Linked DNA regions of Tamandua tetradactyla. The protein of the gene in region 1 purifies or fractionates together with the protein of each later gene. This does not show direct contact. Links are inferred from orthologs where the notes say so. Each region holds a gene or a part of one and is shown on either strand. Other genes may lie near its edges.

Region 1 (3,600 bases):
TCACCACTCTTAGCGGCCTTTGCTAAGGTTTTTGGCGGCGCTTTGGATTAGTTCAAAGAATTGGGAGTGCCATGACAACTAGTGCCCAGAAGCTAGGGATACCAAATATCCTGCAATGCCTGGGACATTGCCACAAATAAAGAATGTTCGGTCCCCAACGCACAGAGCCCTATTAAGAAGGGATGATGGTCTCTAAATAACTTCCCAATGCTACAACTTCACTAAGCTTTGAGCTAAGAGGATCCACATCATAGACCAGGCCCTTGAAAACCCAACCCCATCAATGGCTAACTCAACTTTCAGGTTCCAAATTTTACTTCTTAGAGATACTTCCCCTGATGTCCATCTCGAATTTACTATTAAATTGTCTTGCTCTCTGTTAGTACTTGCTGCCATTCGCCACATCGAAATGAAAATAGTGGCCGTGGCTATGTGCCCACTAATATATAGCGTTTGGTGAGGTCACAGTTGCATTCCATAAATTTTTTGCATAAACATGAAAAACGGTGGCACTCAATAAATACTTTAGATGTAAACAAATGAATAGGCGACGAAAAGACAAGCCAGCAAACGGCGCGAAAAGGGAACTCGGCCGAGGCGCTGACGTCACTCGCAACTTCCGCCTCTTTCCGCTCCTCCCGGCGCCCCCTTCTCCTTGTCTGTGTTTGTTTCCGGCGTTTCAATAAAGCTCGATTCGGCTCGAAGGAGACTCGTTCTTCCGGGAAGATGGCGTCTCCCGCTCGTGCCCCGGAGTCGCCGCCGGCTGCGGGTCTGGCGCTAGCGGCGAGGTCTGGTGAGGAAGCCGACTGCCCGCCGCCTCGCCAGCCTCAGCCCCAGCAGAATGTCCTCGCTGCCCCGCGGCTTCGAGCCCCAGGCTCTCGAGGACTTGGGGCAGCGGAGTTTGGCGGAGCTGCGGGAGATGTTGAAGCGCCAGGAGAGACTTTTGCGCAACGAGTAAGCTTGGGTCCTGCCGGGTCACTGCCAGGCTCTTTTGGTCCCGGCTCCCTGGGAAGCTCCTCCCCACCCCGGGGTTCCCTTCCCGGGAAGGTGACCTTGTCTCAGATTCATTTCTGCCCCACAGGCGAGGGGACAGTCTGCAGCCGCAAAACTGCACCGCATTACGGCCAGTCACGCACTAGTCACACTGCCGGATGAGTAGGGTACTGGACTTGTGTTTTATCGTTTGAGCTGTTCATTACCACCTTGTTGGTTTTCTTTATCCAGGTGTTGTGGCGAATCCTTGAAGGAAAGGTCTGTGCTATAAACTCTTTCTGTGTCCCCCCTCTCCCCACAACTGGTGCCCAGTACAGTAAAGGCTCAATATCTTGTGAATTTCATCTCAAAATCTTTCTTTCACGAACTCTAGGAAGTGGGAGAAGTGGGATATGAAGAATGGTTTATTAAGCCGAGAAAGTTTGAACTCTCACTCAACCAGGGTAGTAATATAATAAGTAATTTTTTTTTTAAGGAAACTTCATTTAGCAGCTAAGTGGAGGATGGTTTGAAGGAATAAAAGGTTTAAGGCAATAGGAGGATATTTTCAGATAGGTTCCCAACAAGGGGATTTCTTAAGAAAGCGAATGAGAACGGTGGCCATGAGATGGAGAAAATTACATCAAGCATGGGATAATTTGAATATGTTGTTTCCAGCGTCCATGCTGGAAGTTTCCAGGTAAACCATTGCCAAAACTAGGAAAATTGGGGGAGGAGAAAAGGTCCAGGTTGAATTTGCTTAGAATGAGTTGAGGGAAGGGCTGAACAGACATTGAGTTAATTATGTCTAGTTAAAAGCTGGAGAAGTGGTCGTGGGGCTCTAGAGAGGAGACTGGAAAAATAGGGGAGTCTCAACTGCAGAGAAGTGTTAATAGTTGAAACTGGGAATGAATGTGGAGAAAGAAAAGAGGGCCTGAGATGTAACTTTTCCTTCCCGTGTATTATATAGCTAAAGAGAAAGGGAAATGGAAAAAAGACTCCACTCAGCAAAAAGGAAAAAATAATCATTTGGCACCTTCCTAATAGATAGGTGTTTTGATTTTGTGAGAGTGGACTTTTTAATGTATAATTCTCTTAACTTTTTCCTCTTAAACATAATTGACAATCCCGAAGAGCTCTTATATCTCTTATATCTATCAGTATTTATGTTTATTAGGAATTACAACAGAGAAATCTTTAAAACACAAAAATATACAAGCATACGTTCCACTAGTCATCACATCACAAAACCTTTGGGAAGCCCTACCCATATGCGAGCATGGGAGTGAAATAGTAAAAAAATGTCTTAGTATTTTTTTTTGTATGCTCTGTGGTGGGATCACATTTCATTATTTTTCCATGTGAGTATCCTGTTATTGTAGCACCATTTGTTGAATTTTTGTTTGTTTGTTTTTTGGAAAGTGCATGGACCGGGAATTGAACCCAGGTCTCCTGCATGGCAGGTGAGAATTCTATCACTGAACTGCCCTTGCACTCCTGTCTTAGTATTTTTATGAAAATAGTTTTGACCTTGCAGACAAGATGGCCTTGGGGACCACATTTTAAAAACTGTTACAATATGGGAATGCTTTGTGTTGTTATTGTATACTTAAATTACTTTTCTGCAGTTCTAGCTAGATGAGACAAAAATTATTCTCTATTCTTCCAGCAGAGTATTTGGGTAATGTCTTAATTTGTTTCATTCTTGTGTGGGGCAGTTGGAAATCAAATTTTTTGTTTAAAAGCCAGTTTTTCTCCTTTTGAGGATAATGCTCTGTTTTTTAAATTCCCATCTTGGGGTTAAAAACATGCCAGTGATGTATACTTGTTCTTTTCCATTTGACAGAAAATTCATTTGCAAATTGCCCGACAAAGGTAAAAAGATCTTAGACTGTGCTGCCAGACTGAAAGCAGCCCTTGCCGAACGTGAAGAATTTAGAGGAAAAAGCGAACTGTTTCATCCCGTTAGATTAGGCTGTAAACCAAGGCAAACTGTGGTTGTAGCAGTTGATGTGGACACAGATAAGACCCAGAATTCTGATCAGATACTTGATACTTCATCACTAATTCCTAACTGTTCCTCTGTGGATAACATCAAGTCATCTAAAACAACCTCACAAAAACAGGGAATTGCAGATCTCACTAACAAAAGCGATGAAGAGACCACAGAGGCAAAGTGCACAGTGAACGAGAGCCCAGGGTCGAGCGTCAGAATCGGTGCAACTTTCTCATCTATAGCTAGTGAGCATCTTCCTCAGCGTTGTGTTTCAGGTCAAGCAGAAGATATTTCCAGCAGCTCTGACAGCCTGTTTATTGATAGATTACAGAAGATCACAATTACAGACCAAGGTGAACACGGCTCTGAAGAAAACACAAGCACTACTAACTTGACAGATCTTCATAGCAGGACTCAGAAGAAGCCCCATTACGTGGAAGTGCTAGAAATGCGAGCCAAAAATCCAGTGCCCCCACTACATAAATTTAAAACAAATATGTAAGTACCATTGGAAATAGATCTAGCATAGGAACAATATTTGTTAGAATTTTTTTTTTTAAGGAGGGAATTTGGGCTTTGTGTGAAAACTACTTGTAGTTAGGAATGAATGTGTTTTGGAAATAGAGCAACAT
Region 2 (4,126 bases), about 18 Mb from region 1:
CAAAATTCTAGCAAATCGAATCCAGCAACACATTAAAATAATTATACATCATGACCAAGTAGGATTCATCCCAGGTATGCAAGGATGGTTCAACATAAGAAAATCAACTAATGTAACACACCATATCAACAAATCAAAGCAGAAAAACCACATGATCATCTCGATTGATGCAGAAAAGGCATTTGACAAAATTCAACATCCTTTCCTGTTGAAAACACTTCAAAGTATAGGAATAGAAGGGAACTTTCTCAAAATGATAAAGGGAATATATGAAAAACCCACAGCTAACATCATCCTCAATGGGGAAAAACTGAAAACTTTCCCCCTAAGATCAGGAACAAGACAAGGATGTCCACTATCACCACTGTTATTCAACATTGTGTTCGAAGTTCTAGCCAGAGCAATTAGCCAAGAAAAAGAAACATAAGGCATCAAAATTGGAAAGGAAGAAGTAAAACTCTCACTGTTTGCATATGATATGACACTATATGTCAAAACCCTGAAAAGTCCACAGCAAAACTACTAGAGATAATAAATGAGTACAGCAAAGTGGCAGGTTACAAGATCAACACTCAAAAATCTGTAGTATTTCTATACACGAGTAATGAACAATCTGAGGGGGAAATCATGAAAAGAATTCCATTTAAAATCGCAACCAAAAGAATAAAATATTTAGGAATAAATTTAACTAAAGAGACAATAGATCTATACAAAGAAAACTACAAGAAACTGTTAAAAGAAATCACAGAAGACCTAAATAAATGGAAGGGAATACCGTTTTCATGGATTGGAAGACTAAATATAGTTAAGATGTCAATTCTACCTAAATTGATTTACAGATTCAATGCAATACCAATTACCAAAAACTTACTTTTCAGAAATAGAAAAACCAATAACCAAATTTATATGGAAGGGCAGGGTGCCCCGAATAGCTAAAAGTATTCTGAGAAAAAAAAAATGAAGTTGGAGGTCTCACACTACCTGACTTTAAGGCATATTATGAAGCTACAGTGGTCAAAACAGCATGGTACTGGCATAAAGATAGATACACTGACCAATGGAATGGAATGGAGTGTTCGGATATAGACCCTCTCATCTATGGACAGTTGATCTTTGATAAGGCAGTCAAGCCAACTCACCTGGGACAGAACAGTCTCTTCAATAAATGATGCCTAGAGAACTGGATATCCATATGCAAAAGAATGAAAGAGGACCCATATCTCACACCTTATACAAAAATTAACTCAAAATGGATCAAAGACCTAAACATTAGATCTAAGACCATAAAACTGTTAGAAGAAAATGCAGAGAAATATTTTATAAATCTTTTAACAGGAGGTGGTTCCCTAGACCTTACACCCAAAGCAAGAGCATTGAAGAAATAAATAAACAAATGGGAACTCCTCAAAATTAAACACTTTTGCCCATCAAAGAACTTTGTCAAGAAAGTAAAAAGACAGCCTACACATTGGGAGACAATATTTGGAAACGATATATCAGATAAAGGTCTAGTATCCAGAATTTATAAAGAGATTGTTCAACTCAACAACAAAAAGACAGCCAACTCAATTACAAAATGGGCAAAAGACTTGAACAGACACTTCTCAGAAGAAGAAATACAAATGGCCAAAAGGAACATGCAGAGATGCTCAACTTCCCCGGCTATAAGAGAAATGCAAGTCAAAACCACAATGAGATATCATCTCACACCCACCAGAATGGCCATTATTAATAAAACAGAAAATGACAAGTGCTGGAGAGGATGTGGAGAAAGAAGCACACTTATCCACTGTTGGTGGGAATGTCCAATGGTACAACCGCTGTGGAAGGCAGTTTGGCGGAAAGAGATGGAAACAGCCAAAATTGCGAAGAGATGGAAACAGCCAAAATGTCCATCAACAGACAAGTGGCTAAACAAACTGTGGTATGTACATACGACGGGATATTATGCAGCTGTAAGACAGAATAAAGTTATGAAGTATGTAACACATGGGTGGACTTTGAGGGCATTATGCTGAGTGAGATCAGCCAGAAACAAAAGGACATGTACTGTATGGTCTCACTGATATGAACTGACATTAGTGAATAAACTTGGAGACTCTCATTGGTAACAGAGACTATCAGGAGATAGAAATAGGGTAAGATATTGGGTAATTGGAGCTGAAGGGATACAGATTGTGCAACGGGACTGAATGTAAAAACTCAGAGTGTCTGGTACTTACATAAAGCTTCAGTAAAAGATAGCAAGTAAAGTCACAAGTAAAGCCATCAGTACATTATTTCCACAATCATAGCTGATTTGTCCAGAATCATTCCATGAGAGAAGTGATAATACCTTGAACTACAGTACGAACGGGCGTAACTAGCAAATCAAATGTAAGCAGGGTAGCACTAACAAAGCACGACAGGATTTTATAGGATTGCCTCTGAGGGGTCAGCAGGACTCTCTAACGTTGCAGCCTATCCTCCAGCGCCAGACGCCGCTCAGAGTAGGGTTCGGCGATTGCCCCTTGGGCTCTGCGGTCGGAAGTTATCCCTCCGTACCCAGAGAGAATGAAATCTATGTCGCTCGTGGATGGACGGCCGTTTACCCAGAATATCTGCACCAAAAAGACCACGCCACTGCTTTACAGGCCAGAGATCCTAGAACAGCTTCCGACACCGGAACCAAACAACCTTTACCTGGGCCCTCCGCCCGAGTCCTTCAAGGCCCATCCCTCCAGCCCCACCACCTACTTGCTCTAGGCTCACCAGGGCGCCGCCATCTTGCCCTGCAGGAAGCGCGTTTCCGTCGCCCCGGCTTTCAGCTTCCGCCCCGCAGCCGGGCCCCGCCTATTCGAGGCTAGCCCCGCCCGCTTGGGGGTTTGTGCTTGCTGGCGCCGACCCGTGAGAGCAAAGGTGGGCCCCCGCCGAACTTTGCCGCTTTTTTCCCTCACCACGTTAGTTCTGTACAAAACACCCAGAGCACACATCTCTCTGTTGTACAGCAGCGCAGGCCCCTGGTGTGCTCTCTGTTGTAGAGCAGCACACATATTACACCTGTGGCACAGGCCGAGGGTTCCTCAGGCGCTCCTCTGCGCGCGCTCTGCCGGATGATCACATCCTGCACCCAGCACCCACGCCCGCAGGCAGCCAGTCCACAGAAACCTACATGCACAACAGTGTGACCACTCCAGTGTGTTTATGGACGAGGAAGAGGATAACTAGGAAAACGTGAGGGGAGGCTCTAGAAACGATACATTTGAGGGAGCAGTGCAGGAATGGAGGGGGTGAGGAGAAGGCAGAGAAGACAGCCTCTCTGCCTGCGAGGTTACTACCCCGTTTCTTAAGCATCCTGTTCATGCGATCTCCTGTCTTGGAAAGCTTCCCTCTTTTCCCCTGCCACCGTACCCCCACTCCAATGTCTATCTCTTCCTCCAAGCATTAGCCGAGTCACTCTAAAACCTTTGCCAATGGGCTTACTCACAGAACTTTCCTTGGAATTACCTGGAATCTTACCAACCGCTCCATAGCATATTTGGAATGCACCACCTACCATCACTGGTTACGTTCAACAAGCATGCACTATTTCTTTTAATAGATTGTGAGTTCCTTTAGGACTTTTTTTCTTTTAATTGAGAGATCTTCACACTCATGCATTCTGTACATGGTGTACAATCAGTGGCTCACAATATCATCACATAGTTGTGTATTCATCACCATGATTATTTTTTAGAACATTTGCATCACTCCAGAAAAAGGAATAAAAAGATGAGAAAAAAAAACTCATACATACCATGCACCTTACCCCCCCATTGACCACAATCTACCCAATTTTATTTTACCCTTTGTCCCCCATATTACTTATTATTTTTTATCCATGTTTTTCACTCATCTGTCCATACCCTGGATATAAGGAGCGTCAGACACAAAATTTTCACAATCAGACAGTCACATTGTAAACGTTATATCTTTATATAATTGTCTTCAAGAGTCTAGGCTACTAGAACACAGCTCAACAGTTGCAGGTACTTCCCACTAGCCACTCCAACACACCGTAAACTAAAAAGGGATATCTACATAATGCATAAGAATAACCTCCAGGATAACCTCTCGACTTCATTTGAAATATCTCAGCCACTGAAAT

Evidence for each region.
Region 2: the proteins of POLR2M (region 1) and RPAP1 purify together in Homo sapiens (affinity purification with mass spectrometry; 3 studies listed by BioGRID and IntAct, counting the BioPlex papers as one, with this or other methods). This does not show direct contact. The link is inferred for Tamandua tetradactyla from reciprocal best matches to the Homo sapiens genes POLR2M and RPAP1.

What each region holds. Positions count from the first base shown.
Region 1 is NC_135340.1:73,292,764-73,296,363, forward strand, and holds the start of POLR2M (protein GRINL1A), read left to right. Parts: upstream 1-707; 5' UTR 708-841; coding exon 842-954; intron 955-1,292; exon of another isoform or gene 1,293-1,580; coding exon of another isoform or gene 1,581-1,672; intron 1,673-2,818; coding exon 2,819-3,466; intron 3,467-3,600.
Region 2 is NC_135340.1:55,167,041-55,171,166, forward strand, and holds the start of RPAP1 (RNA polymerase II-associated protein 1), read right to left. Parts: upstream 2,798-4,126; 5' UTR 2,737-2,797; intron 1-2,736. UniProt on the Homo sapiens protein: Forms an interface between the RNA polymerase II enzyme and chaperone/scaffolding protein, suggesting that it is required to connect RNA polymerase II to regulators of protein complex formation.